Alligator mississippiensis: one gene and its partners. The protein of the gene in region 2 purifies or fractionates together with the protein of the main gene of each other region. This does not show direct contact. Links are inferred from orthologs where the notes say so. Each region holds a gene or a part of one and is shown on either strand. Other genes may lie near its edges.

What was found.
Region 1: the proteins of DNAJC7 (region 2) and BLTP2 purify together in Homo sapiens (co-immunoprecipitation; 3 studies listed by BioGRID and IntAct, counting the BioPlex papers as one, with this or other methods). This does not show direct contact. The link is inferred for Alligator mississippiensis from reciprocal best matches to the Homo sapiens genes DNAJC7 and BLTP2.
Region 3: the proteins of DNAJC7 (region 2) and STIP1 purify together in Homo sapiens (affinity purification with mass spectrometry; 4 studies listed by BioGRID and IntAct, with this or other methods). This does not show direct contact. The link is inferred for Alligator mississippiensis from reciprocal best matches to the Homo sapiens genes DNAJC7 and STIP1.

Annotation. Positions count from the first base shown.
Region 1 is NC_081837.1:1,061,767-1,069,224, forward strand, and holds the start of BLTP2 (bridge-like lipid transfer protein family member 2), read right to left. Parts: upstream 3,009-7,458; 5' UTR 2,916-3,008; coding exon 2,839-2,915; intron 2,472-2,838; coding exon 2,348-2,471; intron 2,251-2,347; coding exon 2,201-2,250; intron 2,050-2,200; coding exon 1,887-2,049; intron 1,810-1,886; coding exon 1,691-1,809; intron 1,339-1,690; coding exon 1,278-1,338; intron 902-1,277; coding exon 691-901; intron 514-690; coding exon 390-513; intron 37-389; coding exon 1-36. Other genes in the region: SDF2 (stromal cell-derived factor 2), read right to left, coding at 4,247-4,534, 5,099-5,295, 5,569-5,740. UniProt on the Homo sapiens protein: Tube-forming lipid transport protein which binds to phosphatidylinositols and affects phosphatidylinositol-4,5-bisphosphate (PtdIns-4,5-P2) distribution.
Region 2 is NC_081827.1:162,909,490-162,917,389, forward strand, and holds the start of DNAJC7 (dnaJ homolog subfamily C member 7), read left to right. Parts: upstream 1-4,889; 5' UTR 4,890-4,945; coding exon 4,946-5,031; intron 5,032-7,892; exon of another isoform or gene 7,893-7,900. Other genes in the region: NKIRAS2 (NF-kappa-B inhibitor-interacting Ras-like protein 2), read right to left, coding at 1-17, 642-735. UniProt on the Homo sapiens protein: Acts as a co-chaperone regulating the molecular chaperones HSP70 and HSP90 in folding of steroid receptors, such as the glucocorticoid receptor and the progesterone receptor.
Region 3 is NC_081838.1:4,559,909-4,567,532, forward strand, and holds the start of STIP1 (stress-induced-phosphoprotein 1), read right to left. Parts: upstream 3,009-7,624; 5' UTR 2,933-3,008; coding exon 2,924-2,932; intron 1,058-2,923; coding exon 848-1,057; intron 1-847. Other genes in the region: ADP-ribose glycohydrolase MACROD1, read left to right, coding at 5,731-5,956, 7,045-7,146, 7,536-7,624. UniProt on the Homo sapiens protein: Acts as a co-chaperone for HSP90AA1. Mediates the association of the molecular chaperones HSPA8/HSC70 and HSP90.

The DNA.
Region 1 (7,458 bases), on a different chromosome or scaffold from region 2:
AGGAACTGCAGCAGCTTCAGGGTCCACGTGAGGTGCCTGCAGCAGCCGGCCCCGGGTGCAGGGCGTGAGGGGAGGGCCTGTCGCACCACTGCCCCTGCCGCCCTGCCTCCCTGCCTCCCAGCCCAGCGCGCACCAGCTGGCGGTCTCCTCGTCTCCAAGGGGCAACTGCCTGCTGCCCCCACCCCTAAGACCACACTCATTCTGCCCCAGAGCCGCTGCCTGGCTCTGCACAGAGCCCCCTGGGGCATTCTTGCCTGCCACAGGCTCACAGCCAAGGAGGATAGGCAGAAACCAGGCACCACGGGCAGAAGAGCCCCTGCACCAGGGACAAGTAGCACAACAGCCCCTGCAGGCACAGGCACTGGACCCATTCTCTGCCCCACCATTACCTCTTCTGGCTGTTCATTGACAGCACCACGCTAGTGCTCTCCAGCTGCACCTTCACCTTGTTGGGGATGAGCTGCAGGGCACCCACACCCAGAGAAGACAGCGCTGTGGGAGCTGCCTCAGGGCCTGAGAGGGGCACAGTCATAAGCCATCGAGCCTAGAGCTCCCCGCTCCTCCCTGGTAGCATCCAGCCCTACTGCCCCCAGCCCAGCTCCCACCACACCCCTAGGGCCGCAGAGAGCCCAGGGGGCCCCAGGTACCCATTCCCCACCCCCACCGCCTCCCCAGGTATGAAGACCAGACCTGGGGCAGGGTCAGCAGGTGGGTCCCTGGCGCGGCTCCGTCTCTCGCTGTGGGCCACCCGGCGCAGCAGCTCGCTGCTGAACAGCCCCTCGTGCAGCTCGGCCTGCAGAGTCCACACGCCCAAGCTGATGCCCGTCAGCTGCCGCTTGCTCAAGCTGACCTGCACAGAGAGGGAGAGCGCCAGCGCCAGCTCCGCCAGGCACGTGTCATCCTGTGGGGGGAAAGGAGGGAGTCGAGGAGCCTGCCAACCTCCCAGGGGAGGCCCTGCTCAAGGCAGAGCTTCCTGCCTGCCCTTCCCCTGCCCAGCAATGCCTGAGCACAGCCTGGTCTCAGCGCCCAGCGCAGGCCACCGCAGCATCCTGCCGCCCCTCCCGGGGACCAAGCCCTGCCCCGTCCTCTGCTGCGGGTTTCGTGTCCAGCTGGCACCTCCCACTAGAGGAGCCCACGTGCTCCGGAGCCGGCTCCAGGTCTCCTGGTGCCACAGCCTCAGCCGCGCTCGGCAGGGACGGCAGCAACGGTGCGGTTCCTCCCAGAGCTCCAGCTGCAGCCCCAGCCTCCTCCCCAGGGGCCCAGGCCCCGACACTCACCAGCTGGCTGCTCCTCAGCACCTTGCTGTTCACCTGCGTCAAGGTCACCTCGCAGTCCAGGCTGGGGGGCAGCAGAAGGGAGATGAGCCCCACCTGCCTCCACTGCTGCCCCAGGCAGGCCCTTCCCTGCCCCAAACCCGAGCTACCGCCGCTGCAACGGGGAGCAGGCTGCCACGGCGCGTTCTTGGGCAGAGGGCACCTGACCCACCCTCAGGAGGGCCCGCTGGGTACCAGCACGGTCCAGGTCCCCGGGGAGAGGGCTCCAGGACCACCACCGCGCGGCCTCGAGCGGCAGATGGGCCAAGCGGTGGCCGTGTGCTGCCCAGCAAGGAGGGGTCACGTGCGAGGTGGGGGCTGGGCAGGGCTCTCCTGGTTGTGGGCAGCTGACCCCTGGCCCCCGCCCGCCGCGTTACCTCCTGCCGTCGCTGTCCAGCAGGAGCCGGGTCCTGGTGACCTGGATGTGCCAGAGCGACTCGGAGGTGGCCATGTGCAGCACCATGATGTTGACGGAGTCCACGTGCACGGAGACGAGCTGAGGACAGGGAGGCAGTGAGGACGGTTGGGGGGAGCCCCCCGCCCCCCCAGCACCCCTGCTCCTCCAGGCCTCACCTGGCTCAGGACTCGCAGCAGGGAGGGCTTCACGGGCAGCTCCCGCTCGCCCTCCTCACCGCCGCCATCCCCGGGAGCCGCGGGGAACGGGGGCAGGCGCCCGGGGGCCTTCTGCAAGTCCAGGCGGATCCGCACCTCCCCGAAGCACAACGCCAGGTAGCGCCTGGACGGGGAAACAGCGCCAGGCCGTGACTACGGCTCCCCCCGGGGCGGCCCAGCCACCCACGGGTGCTCCCACGTGCTGCCCGGCGCAGCCCCGGTGCCAGGGCCGGCGGAGCCCCCGGCCAACGCAGCGGGGATCCCGGGGTACGCACGGCAGGTCGTGGCTCAGCAGCTTGCTGGAGATCCAGACGCTGTCGATCTCCTGCGGGGGGACAGAGGCGAGTCAGCGGGCTCTGCCGCCCGACCGCGCTGCTTTCGGGAGGGCGCTGGGAAGGGGGGGGGCAAGGCCCGGTACCCACCACGACCCGCTGCTCCTGCGGGAACTCGAGGCTGATGTTGCGGAGCCGCAGGAAGCCGCCGACCCGCAGCTCGGCGCGGAGCCGCCGCCGGCACCAGCGCACGGCCAGGCGGCACAGCAGCCACCTGCGGGCGCAGCGCGCGTCAGCGCCGGCCACGGGCACCCCGAAACCTGCTCCCCCCGTGCCCCCCTGGCACCTGCGCCCCAGCCACCCCCCATATTCCCTCCAGCACCTGCACCCCGGGCACCCCCCATGCCCTCCTGGCACCCCACGTATCCCCTCCAGCACCTGCACCCCATGCCCCCCTGGCACCTGCTCCCCGGGCCCCTCTGGCACCTGCACCCTGGTCCCCAGGCACCGGTGGTCCCCCCCGCACCTGCAGCCTGGGCCCCGGGCACCCCTAGCACCGCCCCCGCCCCCCCGCACTGGGCGTGGGCGGGCGGCGGCAGGACCCAGGAGGCGCCCGGGTCGGGGGTCGCGCCCGCCCTCACCGCGCCAGCAGCAGCAGCGCGCCCAGCGCCAGCGCCAGCCCGAGCAGCGCGGCGGGGAGCGGCGGCGGCGGCAGCATGACGCCCCCGGGCCCGCCCGGCCCCCGCGCCTGGCACCGGCCGCTCCGTCCGCCACGGGCCCGGCGCCGCCCGCGGGCCGACCGGCAGCGCGCCCAGAGTGCGGGCGGGCCGAGCGTGAGCGCCCCCGGAGTGAGCGTCACCTGCTGCGCCTGCGCCACGGGGCGGGGCCTGGCGGGAGGGGCGGGGCTAGAGGGGGCACGTGTCCTGGGCTCGGCGAGGCCGGGCTGGTTGTTGTAGGGCGCCGGGCAAAGGGGGCTTTCCACCCTCCCGGGGGCTGGAACCGGACAGTGGTGCAGGGGCGCCCTGCATGTTGCCCCCCTCCTTGCCCATGCACCACCCGAGCCTTCCTCCTCCTGGCAGCTCTCCAGGGGCCATAATTCACCAGAGCCGGCCGCTTTGTCCCGCGAGCACAGGCCAGGCTGGCGTGCCCCAAGCCGTGCCGTGTCCCAGAGGCCAAGTGGGAACCTCTCCTTTTAGGTGTCGGACGCAGGCAGACGCTGCGAACTTGACCATCCCTGGCTGCAGCCTGGGCTTTGCCCCCTCCAGACCCCTGACAGAGCAATGCTGAGGGGCTCGTGGAATAGAGGCTCAATTGTGTCATTTAAACCCACCTAACCCGCACTTGTCCCCTCTTCCAGCCCAGCTTCCCCTTCCTGGTATCAGCACAGCTCCTTTTCTGAGCCCATGTGACATGAAGGAAGTTCTCTGCAGTTTCTTATCTTGCAGCCACTGCTGTTTTTTGGCTGAGCTGTTGCTTTTATTGTTCTGCTTATGAAGGGAGGGCGCACCACCCACCCACACCCCTCCCACAGGAGCTGTTGCTGAGTGTGATGCTTGGAGGGGAGCAATTCTGTCCCCGTGCACATAGGAGCAGAACAAAACTGCGCGCGCCCTTAGAGAAGTAAATTCTTTTATGGCCGAGCTCATCAGCAGTTCGCCCCAGGACGTGTCTGTGCATGAACGTCAGCAATACAGAACTCACAGAGACAAACAAATGAAACCGTGACAGTGAGAACAGGCTCGCTGCAAGGTGATGAAAGCAAGTCACGAATGGTCCCTTTTTCTGTGGGAGTTTGGCTTAGCACCTCTGCAGGAGGGGGGAACCTGCTGTGAGAGGAGCCTGTTGCAACAGATGGAGCCTAGACCAACAGGGATAACGAGACCCAGGCAAGGAAAGAGAAGGGGAACAAGGGCTCTGTTCCCTGGCCTGTGCCCAACTGCTCCAGCAACTGAGAGCTGCTGCAAAGGCTCCTGGAAGCAGAAGGTCCCTACAGGAGCTGAACACTTGTGGTAAAGGTACTGCAACGCTGGGAAGCTCCAGCACAGTCCGTCATAACTCAGAATGGTAGGGATCCATTCTCAGCAGCTCGCTGGGTTTCATGAAGATCCCTTCCATGACCTTCCAGTAGTTGTTCTGGTTAGAGTAGGACATGCCGTGCACTTCCTTCTGGCCGTGGATGGGCCGTCCATACTGCTCCCCAGTCACAGAGAGGAAGACGTCAGTGGAGGAGTGCTTGAACCGCACCTCGCTGTCACGCGCCCAGTACGGCCCGCTGCACACCACCGTCCAGTCATCCAGGTAGTCTCCCTCGCCGTCCTCCCCAAACGCGCTGACCTCCTGGAACAAATGCAGCAAGAGTACAAGGCGTTGACACGTTAGCCATGGCCTAGGGCAGAAACATTCGTACTCGTGGCGTGGGCTGGATGCAGTCTTGGAAAACGAGCTCCAAAACCCCGACCAGGGGCTGAATATGCGGCTCTGCATCAGATGTAAGGGGCATGCCCCCATGTTCCTCCTCCCTCCCCACAGGGACATCATCATCTTGTCCAGTTGGGAATGCAGCTCAGCCCCAGGATAGCTTCACAGCTGTGAACACAGGCAGCACTTCCCCAAGAACCTGCCTTTCCAAAGCAGCGACTAAGCGCCTCCCCTTCCCTCTGCTGCAGGGAGAGCACGCAACCCTGTCCCCTGCCCTAGGTCTGCAAAAGCACGATCCCGCCGTCACAGGAAATCACCAGTCCAGCTATCAGCCAGACCTGGACTCATCTTGCTCACGTCCAGGCAGAAGCACCAACCTCTCGCTGAGGAGAGACATGTGTAGGTGAAGGCCAAGCCAGCCCCTCGGCAGGGAACGGGAGCAGCGTGCGGAGGCGGCCGCCGGGTCCGACCTCCAGGACTTACCTGGTTGCCTGAGAGGGGCGAGGTGAAGTGGTGGCTGTGCAGGTTCCTCCCCGTGTTGATGTGGGTCAGCCGGATGGACTGCCCGCACTTCACGGGCGTCCCCCTCCCGCACACCGTGGAGGTCTTTCCCCGAATCCTCCAGTAGCTGTTGCTGTCGTCCACGGCCGAGACGCCCGTCACCGACTGCTGCCCGCTGCCTGAGCGACCGAAAGGGAAACCGTGGGATCTCCATCGCCGGAGGCGCTCAGCAGCGATGCCCCTGCTCCGCCCCGGGCTGGGCTTTGCCAGTTGCCACGTGGGGACGGGGAGCAATTTGTTCCCCTCCTGCTACTAGGTGTATGGGCGGGGAGAGGGGGGCATTTTCCCCTCTCCCAAAGGCACCCAGTGCGGCTGCAGCCCAGACTGGGGACGGCGCTGCCCCTCCCCCCCCCCGGCCCCGATCCCCAGTGCCCCCCCCCCCCGGCCGGTACCGGATCCGTAGCGCACGTCATGCGAGTGCAGCCGCACGTTGTGGCGCACGTTGAGCAGCTTCACGACAGAGCCGCAGGTGACGGCGTCGGGCTCGGAACCACCGCCCGCCGCCGCCGCGCCCAACCCCAGCGCCAACCCTAGCGCCAGCTCCGCCAGCAGCAGCAGCCGCATCCTCCCCCCCGCCGCCGGAAGCGGAAGCGGCCCCGCCGCGCCGGAACCATAGAGTGCGACGGACGGAAGGGCCGGAAACCCCGTGGAGGGTGGGGGCCGGAAGCGGAAGTGAGGCTGTCTCCGCGCTGGGAGGGCGCGGCTCGTCTGCTCCCCTCTCCGCAGCGGCGGAGGCCTCCATTTTCCCTTCGGCCCCGAGCGGCAGGTGAGGCCGCGCGCGGGGCTCCGGCGGGGGCGGCGGCGGCTTCGCCTCCCCTCGGCCACGGCCGCGGGCGTGTCCCCTCGCGGGGCGGCCGGGGGGCACTGGTTGCCGTGGAAACCGGGGGTGGGGTTGCCGTGGAAACCGCGGGGGCGAGCGAGGGGGCCGCACGAGGCCTCGGGGTCTGCCCACCAAGCCCCGCAGAGAAACAGCCCGGGCCCGGGGCGCCGCCGCCCCCCCTCCCCCCGGGACACAGGGCCGCCTCTCGCTGCCCGTGAAGGCCTCTGGGTTACTCCACGGCCTCCCCTTCGTCCGGCTACGTCACGGCCCCGGGCCACGGGCCTCAGCCGCCGCCCCGACACGGGCGGGCGGGCGGGCGGGGCGGCCAGGCCGCCCGGGCACTCGGCGTCGCTACGGGCACGCGGCGCGGCCTGTGTCCCGTGGGCCGGCCCCCGCGCCCCGGGGGGTCCCGGGCCCGAGCCCTGTTCTGCGCGCCTGCGGGTCTCCTGTCCGCAGCACCGGACACGGGGTCTAGTGGGCTGCGCTCCGCGGAGACCGGGCCAGGTGCGGACCCTCGCCTGCCAGCATGGGGGTATGCGCAGTTGTGCGCCGTAACGTGCATCGTGTGCACCGGAGCATTGTGCGCAGTTGCGCACCATAACATTATGAATGGTTGTGCACCATAATGTGCAGTTGTGCACTGTACCATTGTGTGCAGTTGCGCACCATAGCGTGCAGTTGCGCACCGTAGCATTGTGCGCAGTTGCGTACCATAGCGTGCAGTTGTGCACCATAACATTATGCATGGTTGTGCACCCTAATGCGCAGTTGTGCACTGTAGCGTTGTGCACAGTTGTGCACCATAGCATGCAGTTGTGCACCGTAGCATTATGCACAGTTGTGCGCCATAGCATTGTGCACAGTTGCGCACCATAGCGTGCAGTTGTGCACCGTAGCGTTGTGCGCAGTTGCGCACCGTAGCGTGCAGTTGTGCACCGTAGCGTTGTGCGCAGTTGCGCACCGTAGCGTGCAGTTGTGCACCGTAGCGTTGTGCGCAGTTGCGCACCGTAGCGTGCAGTTGCGCACCGTAGCGTTGTGCGCAGTTGCGCACCGTAGCGTGCAGTTGCGCACCGTAGCGTTGTGCGCAGTTGCGCACCGTAGCGTGCAGTTGCGCACCGTAGCGTTGTGCGCAGTTGCGCACCGTAGCGTTGTGCGCAGTTGCGCACCGTAGCATTGTGTGCAGTTGCGCACCATAGCGTGCAGTTGTTCACCATAACATTATGCATGGTTGTGCACCATAGCGTGCAGTTGTGCACCGTAGCATTGTGCGCAGTTGCGCACCATAGCGTGCAGTTGTTCACCATAACATTATGCATGGTTGTGCACCATAGCGTGCAGTTGTGCACCGTAGCATTGTGCGCAGTTGCGCACCGTAGCGTGCAGTTGTGCACCATAACTTTATGCATGGTTGTGCACCATAATGCACAGTTGTGCTCCGTAGCATTGTGCGCAGTTGCGCACC
Region 2 (7,900 bases):
CTCTATCATCTCTGAACCTGCAGGAAGGCACAGGGTGACACAGGGAACCTGGCTGCAAAGCCCTTCGTTAGCAGGGGCCATGACTTCAGCATCAGGTTTGCACCCAAGAGGTGGCCCTTAGCTACCACCACACGCCTAACAGATCCCTGCCCTTTGCCTGTCTTGTACCCAGCTCTCTGCTCATAAAGGGGCTCCCACAGATGCAGTTCTTGTGTTGCTGCTGAAGCAAAGAGAAGACAGACCCTGAAGGCAAATCTCCAGGGGCTTCTCCATACCCTCACCTCATCTGGGACCCTGACAGTGAGTGAAACCTGCCTGCCCACTTCCCCTGCTCATTGCTCTGCCAGCCTCCACACATCTGCATGCTAGTTTTTTTTTTTTAAATGGTAGATTTTATTCTCAAGAGCCGGGCAGTTCCAGTAAGATCTGCCTCCTGACTAGTGAGAGGCAGGTGCTGATTTATTATTGTAGGGTCTCTCACAAATATCCAGGCTGTGTACTAATGGTTGGTATGGTCAAGCTGCTGCTGCATCTTTCACAGCCCACAGAGAACAAAGCCTGTAATGAATGAGGAGGCCCGAAGGATCACCCCCCTGCCCCTGAGGCCCACTACAGGCCACCCACCCCACTCCCAGACTTACCAACCACATGGTTCCCATAAAGGAGCTGCTCCAGGATGGACGTTTTTCCAACGGAGGCCTGGCCACACACCACGACCTTGCAGCTCTTCCCCATCTTGATGCTCTAATCTAGGCAAGGAGGAGGAAGAGGCTGAGGCATGCATCTGCTGCAACCTGAGTGCCAGGAGAATGGACGGGAGAGTGCCAGGAGAATGCACCGCATGGCCTGGAGCCCAGCCAGGCTTCTCCAGCACTGCATATCCTCCACTGCCAAGGGAGAGGGCTGCACCCTTGCTTTCTTATTCCTCTGGCCAGCAGGGGGCAGGATGTTGGCTGTGATGTGAAGCCATTGCCCAGCACAGATGCCAGGGGCATGTCAAGACTTTAGGCTGGACAGTGACTTAGCACTATGCTTAATGTCCCTTCTCTGCCTGGAACCACTGATATGAATCCCATCAGGGCCAGGATTCCCCATCCACACCCCACAGGTCATTTCACCAAGATCTTAAAGCCAGGAGCCCTGTTGGCTCTGTGTGAATGTTTAAGGTCCCATGGGGACTTTCACCTGAAACAGGCATTGTCCCAGTGCCCCTGATCCCAATTTCCTCTCTGCCTATGGTTGAGCAGGGCGATAAAGTTTACAAAGTTTCCACCTTCCACCCTAGACCCGCGGAAACTGCCTTCCAGGAACTACTAGACTGACTCTGTGGTTTGTGTGGGTGGGAGAAAGTGAAATGTTTTTCACAACCAGAAGGGGTGGGGATCAGCCCAGGAGAGAGCAGCAGTCCCCGAGTGTCTGGTAAGTCTCTTCCGCTCCCCCCTGCCCACCACATGCCCCCTTCAAGCTCTTGTGCTGGCAGGAGACAGGAGGAAGGATAGCCATATAGCCATAGGGCAAGGCTAGGAGACATGAGTTCACTCTCTGCTTTGTCTATGGCTGCTGGACCAGTCATTGCATTTCTACTCTGGTGCTCCTCATTTTTTAAGTGGGCATAACTCTCCCCATCTCCCTGTGGGATCATGAGGGTAAATCTGCCAGCATTTCTGAGGCTCGGAGGCCAGCATGACAGGGGACAGAGCAGGCTCCAAGGAGCAAATAGGCCTTTTTCCTTCTCCCAAGCCTCTGCCTCATTCTGTGATTTTAATATCTCGGTGCCAGGGAGCATGTGGGGGCCATGTTCTGCAAACCCCCCTTGCACACCCGCACCCCTCTACACAAACACACCCTCCCTAGAGAGATCCCAGACAGGGAACTAATACACATGCAAATGACTTAAAATCCAGCTGAAGCCCAGAAGCAGACGGACATTCAAGGGAAAACCACTGGCCCCAGAGCCCATGTTCTCACTGTGGCAGGTGTGCATGGGTGCACAGTGCCAGATACAACAGGGTCCTGACCCTGACCGGGGTTGCCGCAACATGAAGGGGTGACAATGATGAAGAGCTCGGCTGTTCTTGGAAGCCAGCGTCCGGCTGCACCAGTTTCCCAGTAGAAGCCAGCTCTTGTTCAAAGGCATCTGTGAATTGTGCATGTCTGCACCCACAATCCAGATGGCCCTACACATTGCTACCAGGAGTGGTTTCTACCTACCTCTGCTCTCTTGAAGGCTCTTCCTGCTTTCTCTTCTAAAACCTTCCTATTTAACGGCTCACACTGCAACTATCAAGGAAGGGGAAACCACAGAGGACAAGACAGTGCAACCATGAGGCAAGACGGGATAAGTGCAGCAAGACAGCACCATCTAGAGTCCTTGCACACGGGCTGTGCAGTGCCTTCCTGCTCCTAGACTGGGCCACAATAAATCAGATGCAGTAATTCTAGACCAAAGAGAACCTGTCCATCCATGTGCACAATCTCAGAAGACAAGTGAACTGCGAGTAATAGGTAGTAACATTAATACTAAGGGAGGCGGCAGGCAGAGCTGTGGAAATGGGATCTTTATTGAGCCCACACAGAGGCCTGCAGTACATAATAGACTTGTGCTAGACTAGTGACTTCCAGCTTTCAAGGCTGAGCCCCTGGTGTCCCTACAAACCAGGCTTGACTGACACAATCCCTTTCTTCAGATCTGCCTCCACCAGACTGCATGAAACCTGGGGCAAGTAGGACAAGAAAACCAAAGGGAGGTAGTTAGCCATGTAGTCTGAAGTGAGGCAGAAGGCTTGGTAGCATTGTACCTAACTGAATCAGCAAGGAAAGAGACAAAGAGAAACAAGGCCATTGTACATTGAAGAAAAAGCTTTAAAAAATACATCTTTTAGATAGAACCAGACAGATGATAGATGACATTTTCCTTTCTTGGAGCACATGACGTTGTTGAGGATTTTGAAGTGAGTGAAACCTTTTGGCTGCAGACATGTGTCAATAGCCTGAAATGTTGTTACCTCACCATGGTGCTAGAGTGACCACCGAGCTTCTCTCCAGCTTTAAGAGCATTTGAGATGATTTCTCAGTTGCTGAAGCAGGGGCGGGCAATTATTTCCGGTGGAGAGCCGCTTACTGAGTTTTGGCAAGCCACTGAGAGCCGCACGACAGGCAGCCAGGGGCAGATAATTTACTTTTCTAAATTTTTTAGGGCCCCCACAGGCCAGATAGAATGGCCTGGTGGGCCACATCTGGCCCGTGGGTCACGTTTTGCCCACCCCTGTGCTAAAGGCTCATGCCAAAGACTTTTTGAGGGTGAGGAGAGAGAGCGATGAATTTAAGAGGCATCATTGCTATAAGGAATATTTAATTATTTATGGAGGAGGCAGCAATTTCGACAGAAAATTAAGATTTGGCCATTGCTCCAATGATTGGTCAGCTAAATGCAACCATACAAGGCAGCCCTGATCCTGCCAATCCAACCATGAAGGGCTGTTTTCTGCTCCATGCTTGCCACCCTGCCACAGACAGCAAATATCTGCATAATTGGGGGGGGGGGGGGGGGTCCTCCGAAGGGCCTCAGAAATGGAAGATACCAAGAGACAAGGGCAGGAAAAGGAGAGGTGTGAAACTAGAACTGAGTGTCACCCAGACGTTTGAGACAGGGTTGATTATGCAGTGAGTTCCCAGTTGAACCCCTGCACTTGCCCAAGCAGAGGTCCTTGCAGAAACAGGCTATAAGGCATGCTTGCAGTTCGGTGTTTAAGATCTTAATTATTACTTCAGGTAATTATTATCCCTCAGTGTTGCTAAGGCTGGGTGCTGCATGGGGGTGGTACAGGGGGAAGATGTTTTGCAGCTGGAGGCCACTCAGAACAACAGTATTACTGTGATTTATGATCCATGTCACAGCTGCACCTAGGAATGCTACTCAGTGTCCTCAGCACTGCATGGGCAGCAAGCACACGGTGGTGCTTGCCATATCATATCACTGGGCATACTTCCAGTGCTGCAACCGTCTCAAGTTACAGCAAGGGAAATTGAGGTTAGATATTAGGAGAAACTTTCTCACTGGGAGGGTGGCGAAGCACTGGAACAGGCAACCCAGAGAGACTGTGGGCTCTCCATCCTTGGAGGTTTCTAAGCCCTGGATAGACAAAGCCTTGACTGGGACGATCTGGTTGGGGCTGGTCCTGCTTTGAGCAGGGGGCTGGACGAGATGACTCCTGAGGTCCCTCCGTTTCTATTTCTACCATGTTTCCACTAATCCACCTAGCCTTTCTGCTGCTGCTCTGCTGTCTGGGATCTGCTCCTGCAGCCTGTTTTTATCTTTAGCCAAAAACATCCACTCTGGTTTGGAAATACTAATTCAAGTGAACGTTAACTTTCAGCAAAGTGCTGGAGGCAGCATCCAGATGATCAGGAAGGCCAGGTTGCATTTTCTGACCCTGCAAGAGAGGCGGTCCACTTCATTCGAATGCCGGCGGGGTGAACGAGGTGACTTGGATTATTTCTGCCTCGCCTGTTGCATTTGCGCACCTAATGTGGGAGCTAGCAAATGATGGCATCTTCCAATAGAGGCTTTCCTCCCTCTCACCTTTATTCAATCTTAAACTGAACAATGCAGTCCAAGGCCCCTGGCTTATTAGTACAGCTTCTAGTTTCTTTTTTCACTGAGGAAAAATGTGTGTTATATGCCATGATGCACCACATCCTCTGCACCCCCTTTTCAAGATCCTATGCTCTACCCATACTCACACACTCGCACATCCTCCCTCCCCGGGCCATCTCCTGCCACCCTCCGCTCTCATCCCCCCTCCCCTGTCGGACGCGGAGTCCGTCTTGGCGGACCGCAGGGGCCTCTCCTCGTTCCCGGAAGTCCGTGCCTCTTCCGGCCCCATCCCTCCCCCCCGCCCGCTCCTCCCTGCCTCCCCTGCCCGGGTCCCGGCTCGGCGGTAAGATGGCGGCGGCGGCGGCCGAGTGCGATGTGATCATGGCGGCGCCCGAGGGGCCGGGCGGGCTGGACAGCGACGAGGAGGCGCGGAGGTAGCGGGCGGCCTGCGCGGGGGCCGGGCCGGGTAGGGTCGGGTCAGGGCGCGGGGGAGGCGCGTCCCCCCCTTCCCGAGCGGCTGGGGCTGGGACTGGCGGTGCCCGGCCCTGCGGGGCCTCCCCCGGGCAGCAGCAGCAGCAGCAGGGGATGCGGAGAGCCGCGAGCCAGCTGCAGCGGGGAGACGAGGCTGGTGTGAGGAGGAGCTGACTCCCCGGGAGGGCAGCGGAGCAGGGCAGGCGGTGGGGTCTCCAGGCTTGAAGCCCTGCTGGTTTGAGCGGGGAGAGCGGGCGAGGCGCCCTCCCGAGGTCCCTCCAGCCTCGCTTCCTAGGACTCTGTCTGCCAGGGGAGGCGGCTGGGGGCTGCGGGAGCAGCTCTCTTCCCCACGTTTTCTGTGCTCCCTTGGCCGCCCACCCACAGCCGGGCCCCGGGCCGGGTGCTGGCTGCGCAGCCCCACCTTGCAGCCCTTGGCCCCCCCACCCCGTCGGCGCTGGCTTGCTGCAGGATCTGTGGCCCCTGCCCTGTGTTCAGCGGGAGTGTCCTGCAGCCGCCCGGGCGCCCCTGTGGTCAGGGTGGTTTTGGCCTGCGTGTGGCATCATGTGCTGAGGGCTGTCCTGGGTCAATCCAAGCTTGATGCCTCTGAGCAGCCCCTGCTCTCCACTGCCCAGTCTTGTGCTTAAAAGGAAGCAAGCTGGAGAAAAGCAGCAAAGCCGGGCTTTGAAACCTGGCTCCTTTTCAGGACAGGAGTGCTGTGGAGGTGGCACGCTCCAGCCTTTATCATCCCTGTGTGGGGGCAGCATTGCCTTGTGTCTGAAGGCTTTCTCCGACAAGCAACGCTAAAGGGTTAATCCATGTATGGGGCGGGGAGGGGAATCCTTTGGCTGGGAGCCTGTGGGAAAGAAGCAGGAGGGAAGACTCTTAGCACAAAATCCCCTCCCCTTCTCTCATACTTACTGCCCTGGGACTTCATAGTTTCTATTTTATTGCATCTCCTCCTTCACCTTGTATGATCAGAGATTCCTGATAGCCCAGAGCAACCTACGTCTCAGCCACACCCTCAGATACCTGTCCCATGCTGCCCTGCTTCCTTGGAAAAGGGCCTTTGGGTATGTATACTGGAGTACAGGATCCAGTCTTGAAAATACTAGTACGAACGAGCTCTTGGCTACCACCCCCTCCCCTTGGTTATTATTAAAGCTTATTTTATCTGTGGAAAGGCCAAATCTCTTTCATCTCTAAAGCTACTCAGCAGACTCTGCCCAGAGGTGCAGATACCACTGGCTGAGACTGGGCACAGTGGAATCCCAGCCTTTTCCCTTGCTTATGAATTTTCTTTTTGAGCGCAAAGGTTTCTGTTGCCACCTGCTGCTGACCTGTTATAGTCTCAGCAGGAGGTGAAATGAAAAGGACAGCCTATAGAAAACACAGTGCTGGTTCCACAGGGTTTAAACCTGCCAGGCTGAAACTTTGTAGCCTGTGATCACCAGAAAGAAAAAACAAAATCTCTGAAGGTGGGTTCTTGCAGAGACCTGGTTGAACGATGGAAGCCTGGAAAGAAATTAAACTGAAGGGGCCTGAGGTAGTTATGCTACTTATTAACTGTCAAAGGTGGAGGGCCAAGTGACAACACTAGAAGCACTTCAACACCATAGAGAAATATAAAATATGTTTTTTAAAGCATCTGGGCATTGGGCATTGGACACAAAGAATGTCAGAGAGGTGTGGACATAGTAGTGCTGGAGAAGTTGTGTGTGAATCACTACTCAGTATTATTGTGCCTAATACTGTTGCTTTTGTTATTGTCTCCAAGGCTTTGCTTTCAGTGGTTGAGTGTAAAATGTGATCGGTATCGTGACTCGGGCTCAGTCTTTCAGTTACAGCGACCTTTAGTACCAGCCTTTCTTGTGCCCCAGAACCTGTGAAAAGGGACTTGTACTGGTCCGGAAACAGAAAAGCTGAGCTTGTTCAGGAGAGTGGTTTCCTGGCTTGTAGTAAAGGAATCCTTCAGGGGTGGAGAGCAAAGGTAACCTGGCTGACCTCCACTGTCTTACCGTGGTGTAACCAGTAAGACAGATTCTGGTCCTAGGTTGCGAATGTTCAGTTCTCCGACAATATGTTTCTTTCTGAGTGTTGGGCTCCCAAGCTCTATGTTCTCCCTTTGGGTGATTCTTATTGAGGGAACAGTACTGCAACACGGCTTCAGCATCATCACAATTTCTGTGCTACTTCCAGGCTTACTGCTGCCTTCTCAGAGAGCTTGGAATTTAAAGACTATTTGAGCAGAGGCCTGGGGTCAAGAGCCTCCTGTCAGTCTCATCTCTGCCATTGCTTTGTTAAGGAAAATTGCTTAACTTCTCTGGCCCTGTTGATCCCTTTGCAAAACAAGAGTAATTCTTAGCTACCTCAGAGACAGAATTAGCACTTGTATGTGTAAAGCACGTTGAACTGTGTGAAGTGCTCTATTGGCATTCTTGGACAGAGGGAGACTACAAGTTACAGACCGAATGTTTTACTATGGGTTTTACAGGGTGAGTGGGTTATTTGAAAGCTCGCGTGAATCATTTCAAATAAGTCTGCAGGTCTGTTTTCGCTCTTTCTGGCCTTCTGTAATTCAGTATGCAATGAAAATTATGACCAGGATAAAAAAATGTTTTGTTTCTAGACTAAGCTTTGCCTGAATATACTGCAGTGTGGTCCACTGTGGCGGGGAGGGAGGAGGCAGGAATACTTCTGATCACTGTGGCTGGGTAAACGGGGAGAGAGGAGCAATGCAGTGATTCATATTTCTGTATTACCATACTAGCAATGCACTGAAACAGCTGCAAGTAAACTGAATTTACAGGTTGGTTCAGAGACTTACCAGTGAAA
Region 3 (7,624 bases), on a different chromosome or scaffold from region 2:
GGGATGATGGGAGTCTGGAGAAGAAAAAACTGAAGGAGGCTTATCCCTGCAGCAGGAAGAATGAGAGAGATGACTCCCAGTGGCCACATGGGACAGGACAAGGACAGAGATGGCAGCAGGGGAAACTGAGACTGGGAATGTGGGAGGATTTTCTGGCTCTGAGTGGGGGAAGAAGGAAAGTCTCTGTCCTCAGACACAGCTGGGCTGATTTAGCCAGGGCTGGTCTTGTCTAGAGCACCGGTATGGACTAGATGCAACACCCCTGATCCCCGCCACAGCCAGCCTGCCTTCCCCAGCCCACAGACTCATGGCCACCCCACCCCCACTACAGACTCCCAGCATGCTTCCCACCCCCTCCAGATTTCCAACCCCCATTGGAGAATCTCAGCTCTTAGCTTTCTCTTTCTTGACCACAGAAAAAACAAGAGAGAGACTCTTTTCTTGCAAAGGCCTCCCATCACGACAGCTCAGGACATTTTGAACACTATGCATTCCTGTTGGACAACCCTGGGTTTCTCCTGCGAGCTGCCTAATGATGCTAATGAGGCATCCCACTACATGCTTGAAAGGGCTTTGAGGAACTCCAGCACCTGGCTGTTTTACCCTATTGGACCCTTCCTGGTGCTGGTAATGGAACCCAGGTGTCTTCACAGCCCACCCATGCCTACATCTAACCAGTGGTAGGAGGAAAAAAGCAGTTAGGAATCAGTCCTATGATGTGTATGAGTTGTGCCCCAGCTGGAAGTCACCCCAGTTACCATGGGACTCTCCACCCAGGCACGGATGACTGGGGCCACTGGGGAATGACCCAGCCTCCGATACAGCTAGATCTGTCCCCCCGCTTCACCTTGCCCCACTCTGGCTTGAGCTCCACTGTCTTGCAGGCATCCTCCAGCGCTCTCTGATACTCCCCCTTCTTGGCGTAGGCTGCCGACCGGTTGCTGTAGAGCACATGGTTCTTGGCATCTAGCTTGATGGCCTCTGAATAGTGTTTGATGGCCTCAGCGATGTTCCCCGCGCTCAGCGCTTTGTTGCCTTTCTCCTTCAACTCGTTCACCTGAGAGGGAGGGAGAAGGGGATGAATTAGCCCAGCCGGGAAGTCTCCCAGGGGCCACTGGGCTCCAGACAGCCCTGTCCCTACCCTTGGGGTCTCGGTCAGCACATGGAGAGTATCACTGCAGCCAGCTTTGTACCAACTGCCTCAGCTTTCCCACCAAGATGTGAGCTGGCACCTCGAAGGCACAGCTGGTGTGGATGCTGGGGGAAGATACGAACTTCCCAAAGCTGATTCCTGCCTCCCCCTTTTGCCCTTCCCACAGGGTCTTGCCCTGACCCTAAGAGGAGGCAAGACCCTGTAGCCAGCGGCTGTGGTCCCAGCAGCACACGCACAGAGCAATTACAACCTCCAGCCTGGCTGCAGCCAACACCCAGTGCCTCTGGGGAAGGCTTAACCCCGCCCCCCCCCAAGTGGCAGAGGCAGGGCGGTGGCAGCCAGCACTGCCCCGCCTGAAGCCTGGGAAATCTCCACAGTAGAAGAGGCAGCGCTATGCCCCCATCAGCCCCAACCGACGACTGTAAGAGCCTTGAACCCTCCAGTGATGGAGAGTCCCTAGCTCTCCTGCCCTCTCTCCCACTGCGGTCCTGCTCCAGCAGTTAAGTTTTCCCTGAGATCCAACCTAAACCGACTTTACCCTCCAAACTAAGCCTCCCCAGCCTGGTCTATGTTGTGACAAGACTTCCAGCAGGGATCACCCGGTGCCTCTGGAGGCTGCAGCTGGGCAGAAGTCCAGGGAGAGCAGCTCCACAAGTGCTTCCCCGTTGCTAGAAAGAGGCAGCTCGAGCCAAGGAGATCAGGTAGGGAGGAACTGTGCCACGGGGGACAGCTGGGAAGCCATGCATCAGTGCCCACAGCTGCCAGGAAGAAGCATTTCTGACCCCCCCCCCCCCCAAAATGAGTCACTTGATTGCAGGTGCCCGCCTCTGCCCTGGTCTCCAGCCCCTACCTCGCTGCATCCCAGCCCCATCCGGCACCTGAAGCCAAGCTGCCAGCTGCCTTGTGGGGGCTGAGCTCCAAACCGGAGGCCACCCAGAGGGAAATAATTACCACTTCAAGGCCCCCAAGCAGCTGCCTGCGGAAGTGGAAGGAGCAGTAATCCCACACCATCAATACCCCCTCCGCCCCTGCCCAGCAGCCCCCGTCACAAGGGGACAGAGCTGTGCCAGGCTCAACCTCCCAGCCTGGATCTGCCCCAAAGATGCAGGGCTCGGGGCTGCACGTGTGGAAGCCCAGGCCCAGGGCCGGGGACCGGAGTGCAGGTGCGGAGGTGGGAGAACCGGGCACCTGTGAGGAGCAGGGAGGTGCCGACACAAACAGGTCTCAGCTCCTCCAGTCAGGCAGGGGCGGGCGGTGGCCCCAGCCCTGAGCAGCACCCACGGGGCCGGGCCCAAGGGAGGAGGGGGAAAACACGACAGGGAACTCGTTCCACCTGCCCCTGCCAGGGCCTCTTCAGGCTGCAAGGAAGCAGGCAACACAGCTGCCCCCATGCAACCCCCCCAGGCTGCCAGCTGCCCCAGCCCCCCCTGCACAGCTGCCCCCACATCCCCCAGCCCCCCCGCACAGCTGCCCCCACATCCCCCCCACACAGCTGCTCCCACATACCCCAGGCCCAGATTTACCCCAACCCCTTCAGTCCCCACCTTTGCCCCCATCGCCCCCTTCTCACAGTGTGGGGGAGCAGTAGAACCCCCCCCCAATGCCCCCCGCGTCCTGCCCCCCCCCGCCCAGGGGCGCCCCCAGAAGCCCCCTCCCGTGCGGCAGGGCGGGCAGCCCCTTCCCCACAGCCCCCATAGCCCCGCCCAGTAGCGCGCCCAGCCCCTGGGGACCCCTCAAGCACCCCCGTCCCCCCAGATCCCTCTTCTCCACCTTCTCCATGGCTCAGGCCGGTCCGCGACCACCGCTGCCTTCTGGAACCTGCTAGAAAGCTTCCCGGCTCCGCCCCCGCCGCCCCATTGGCCGCCGCCCGCGGGGACCCCACCGCCCCCGAGCCACGATTGGTGGGAGACGCTGTCCGTCCCGGCCCCCGCACCGCCTCGCTGGAACGCGGGGCCCGCCCACCCCGTCCATTCCCTCTTCTCATTGATCCTCAGTACCTGTCAATCAAGCCCTCTGCCGTCCCTCGCTCCCCATGCCTGATGTCATTGGCTCCCGCCTGACAACTGAGCCCCGCCCTCTCTCTTCCGATTGGCTGCTGCTCGCCTCTCAGCGTCCATTGGTCCAACGGCCTTTCCATCCCTCAAAGGCCCCCCTCCCATCCTGGGATTTTGCGTCCTTTCATTGGCTGGCCGCAACGCCGTGACGCCACGCCGGAGTGCGGCGTTCTGATTGGGCCACTCCAGAGAGACGTCACCGCCCGTGGTCCTTTAAAAGGCGGCGCTGAGCCGCTGGCGGGAAGTGTGTCGTGTGGGCACACTGGTTGTTGTGTTGCGCTGTTAGGTGGTCTCTGCCCACGTGTGACCTGGGGAGTTCAACGCGGGGAGCCCCGGGGTCCTGGTGCACTTGGCAGAGCCTGGAGGGCCTGTTCCTGGCAGGCAGGGGATGAGGAGGGGAGGTCTTGTGTTTCAGTCCCCACTCGTGCCCCTGCCCTGCAAGGGGAGCTTGCACAATTACTCGTACCCCTCCTGCCAGGTGCGTGGGCTTTCGCCTCCCCCTGCTCCAGCCCACTGGGGAGAGGTCCCAGGCATCCTGCTGGGTTTCACACTCCCCTGCCTGGCTCGGCCACACTCCAAAATGAGGGCTGTTGCCCAGGGAACAAGCCCCCTCTGCTTGGTGCTGCCCAGGCCCCCTTACTGAGGATGCCCCCCAAGGTCTTGAGGTCCTGTCAGATCCTGTTGCCTCTACGCTTCCAACCTCACTGGGCCTGCCACCTTGGCCCCAGGCCTTGCTGGGCCCATTTCTAGGGCAATGCATAAGTTGTGTAAGATGCGTGTGTCCCTCTGGCACTGGTTCCTATGCTTCATATGCATGACGCGTGTGTGCGTCTCCAACACTCATGTTTTGCATGCCTCCAGTACATGTGATGTCCCGTGCGTACACATACCTCACCTCGGCTCTTGGGCATTCACAATGTCCGTGAACCTGGTGCCCTGTGTGGTCACCACCATGCATGACTGCCAGCTCGGGATCTCGGGGAGAGGCTTTGGGTGGAAGTGCTTGCCTGTGGGACAGCCAAATCTCCCAGCGGAGCTGCCGGGGGTGGGAAGCGGCAGGTAACCTGGGCTCCAGTGGGTGGGTTTTAGGCGAGGGGGTAGGAAGGAGCCAGGACACCTGGGTCTGTCCTGAGATGTGGCCTGGGCAGGAGAGGGCTAGTGGCTTAGGGACCACTGAGGAACCAGGACTCCTGGGTTCTGTCTGCAGTAATGGGCCTGGGGTGCAGTGCCCACAGTATGGCCGGGGGAGGGGCTGGAGCCAGGATGCTTGGGGTCTTTCTATCCCTGCTGTTATCCCTGCCTCAGTTTCCCTGTGGTAAAAAGCACTATCCCACACCCCAGCAGGCTTGTGCAACAGCTTTGCACAGCTCATGTGGCCACCTCTGTTCAGTGCAAAGTGTCTTGTTCTCCTCTGTAATGGGTGCGCGGTTTCTTAATGTGGTTTAAGGTGTGTGATGGAAAGTTTTATGCTAGATGAGATGTGTGTATGTGTGTGTGTGTATGTATATATATATATATATATATATATATATATATATATATATCTTGTGCTCTTCTTCCTGCCTGGAGGTTTCTTTTAAGCTGATGCATGTTCCTCTGGCCCAGGGTTTCACATAGCATGTGGGGCTCAGCAAAAGGCCCTGACTGTCAGCACACAGGGTGTAGGGCTAAACATAGCCCATGGTTGAAGCAGCCAGCAAGATCAGGCAGCCACGAGCTATTTATAGCCCCCACCTCCCCAAGCATTGGGTTTAAATAGCCAGAGCTCTGGTTATAGGGGGAGGGGGGATATGATCCCAGTCCAACTCCAGCCCCCTTTGCAAGGGCATTGCCTTTAGAAGCAGGCAGTCTCCCTGCTTGTGCACAAGGAGGGGGCTGAGGGGGGCAGGCCCTGGAGGCTCTGCTCAGCATGCCAGGAGCTGTAGTTGAAGCCCTGGCTGGCTGCAAAGAGGTTTTGGGCTGGGGCAGGAGGTGGAAGGGGTCAGAGGTCGAAGCATGGGGCTGGGTTTCTGCTCCAGAGGGGGTATCGCACCGCAGGCAGAGAACCCAGGTGTCCAGGCTCCCAGACCTCCCTTACTCCAACCCCTCAGCCCCCACTTCCCTCAGACCAGGGGGAGGCCCCAGGCGTCCGGGCTCCCAGCCCCTTGCTCTCAGTCCCCAGCTCCCAGAGCAGGGAGAGAAGCCAGGCATCTGGGCCCCGGCCGTCCCTCCTCTAACCAGCCCCCCAGGCTGCACTCCCCTCCCGAAGTGGGACGAGAAGGTGCCTGGCTCCCAGCCCCCGTCCTCCCGAAACAGAGCCTCTGCACGGAGATGGGGTTAGGGCGGGGACTACATTTCCCAGCATCCTTTGCATTAAGCTCTGGGCAGAGCTTGCTCCTAGCCCAGCTTTGCTCAAGCAGGACGGATTCCGCCTTCCCTCCCCCCCCCCAGCTAAATACCAGGTGCAATAAATAAGGGAGAAGAATTTCCCTCTTGCACTCAGGGACCAACCAGCGCCGGGAGGGGGGGCATCTCTTTGCGACCATGCCAGTGGCTCTGTTTGGCATTCAGGCCCTGAGAGTGGCAGGGCAGGTGCTGGGGGGCTGGGTCGGGCGCCCCGGGGTGCTGGGGGCTCTCTGGAGGGGGGCAGTTCACTTGGGCGATTGCTCTCTACCCCGGGGCGCGCTCCGGACCTGGGCGGGTGCCCCCCCACTGCACATGGCGGCCAAAGTGGACCTCACCACTTCCACCGACTGGAAGGAGGCAAAAAGTAAGTGCCTGGGGAGGTGGAGGGCAACCGGGCATAGCCCCCTGCTCCCCCCAGGCCTGTGCCCCCTCTGGCTGCTGTAGGTGTGCCCAGCTCCATGCCCTGCCCTTGTCCCTTTGCTAGGCACAGTGTGGGGGTCTCCAGGCCAGGCCTGCACCAGTTTAGGGCGTGCCAAAGTTTAGGGGTTTGTGCCAAGGGGGTGGCAGGACTCTCCGGGCAATGCTGCGGTTTGTGCCAAGGGGGTGGCGGGACTCCCAGAATCCTTTGCACTGAGAGCAGCCGTGGGTGCTTGCCAGCAGCTGCTAGTGGTGCAAAGGATTCTGGGAGTGCCTGCCTGGCGCTGCTGGGCCTAGAGGACACTGAGGCCTAGAGGGTGCCAAGAAGCCCTGGGGGGCAGAGGGCAGGGCTACAGGTCACCATGGAAACAGGCCCAGTGAGGCCTGGGGCCTAGAGCTCACCACCGGCAGGGTGAGGCCTGGTGAGGCCTAAAGCCTACATGCCACCCAGCAAGGGGCCCAGGGCCTAGAAGTTGCCATGGAAAAGGGCACAGTGAGGCCTTGGGCCTAGTAGTTACCATGGAAATGGGTGTCAAGCCCAGGGAGGCGTGGTGGGGGCTTGGCGTTGCTATGGAAACAGCCCGGTGAGGCCTCGGACCTAGGTGTCAGGCCCAGTGCAGTGGGGTGGGGGTGGCTAGAGGTTGCCATGGAAATAGGCCCAGGAGGCCTGGGGCCTAGGACCGACCCACCCCAGAGGCCGGATGAGGCCCAAGGCCTTCTAGTCACTATGGCAACGGGGCCTGAAGGGACCCTTGGGGGACACTGAGGACACTTCCCTGTTGGGTGGGCCTGGGCAGCGCCAAGCTGGGGGCTTGTTCCCTAGGTGACAGCCGTCATTTTGGAGGAGAGCAGTGCCAGGCAGGGGAGTAGGAAACCGGCCGGGCCCTGCCAGGACACCTGGGTCCTCTCCAGCTCTGGGAGGAGAGTGGGGCTGGGGGGTGAGAGCAGAGGGGCCTGGAGCCTGGGACTTGTCCCCCCTGCTCCCCAACTAGTTTGCTGCTCTGCGCCTCAGTTTACCCATCTTCCCCCTTGCAGAGTATCTGAGTGGCCTGAGCCAGAAGCAGCGGCGGGAGCATTACTTCACCAAGGACTTCCTCCCTCTGAAGAGCATTGACACCTGGAAGAAGATGGCTAAGAGTGAGTGTCCACATGGAGACTTAATTTAGATTAAGCCGGGTTTGGGGGAGGGGACAGGTTGAAGAAGCAGGTGTTATATCCAAGGTTAACTCATAGGGCTGGGATAATGGGGGCTCGGAGCCAAAGCTCATGTGGGGAGGGGGCTGCAGGTTGGGAGCGAGGGGCACCGGTGGGCAGGTGCATGGGTTAGGAGTGAGGGGCACTGGGGGAGCAAGGGACTACAGGTCGGGAGTGAGGGGCACTGGCAGAGGTGGGGGGAGGTTGTGGGTTGGAAGCGAGGGGGACTGGCAGGGCTGGGGGCATCAGGGAGCTGCGGGTTGGGCATGAGGGTCACTGGCAGGGCTGGGAGGCTCAAGGGCAGGAGTGACACCCCCCCCGTGCCTCCCCAGATGCCCATGTGAAGCAGCCTGAGGGGGCCAAGTTTCCCAAGGATGCAGCCCTTAATGAGAAGATCTCGTTGCTGCGTCATGACATCACC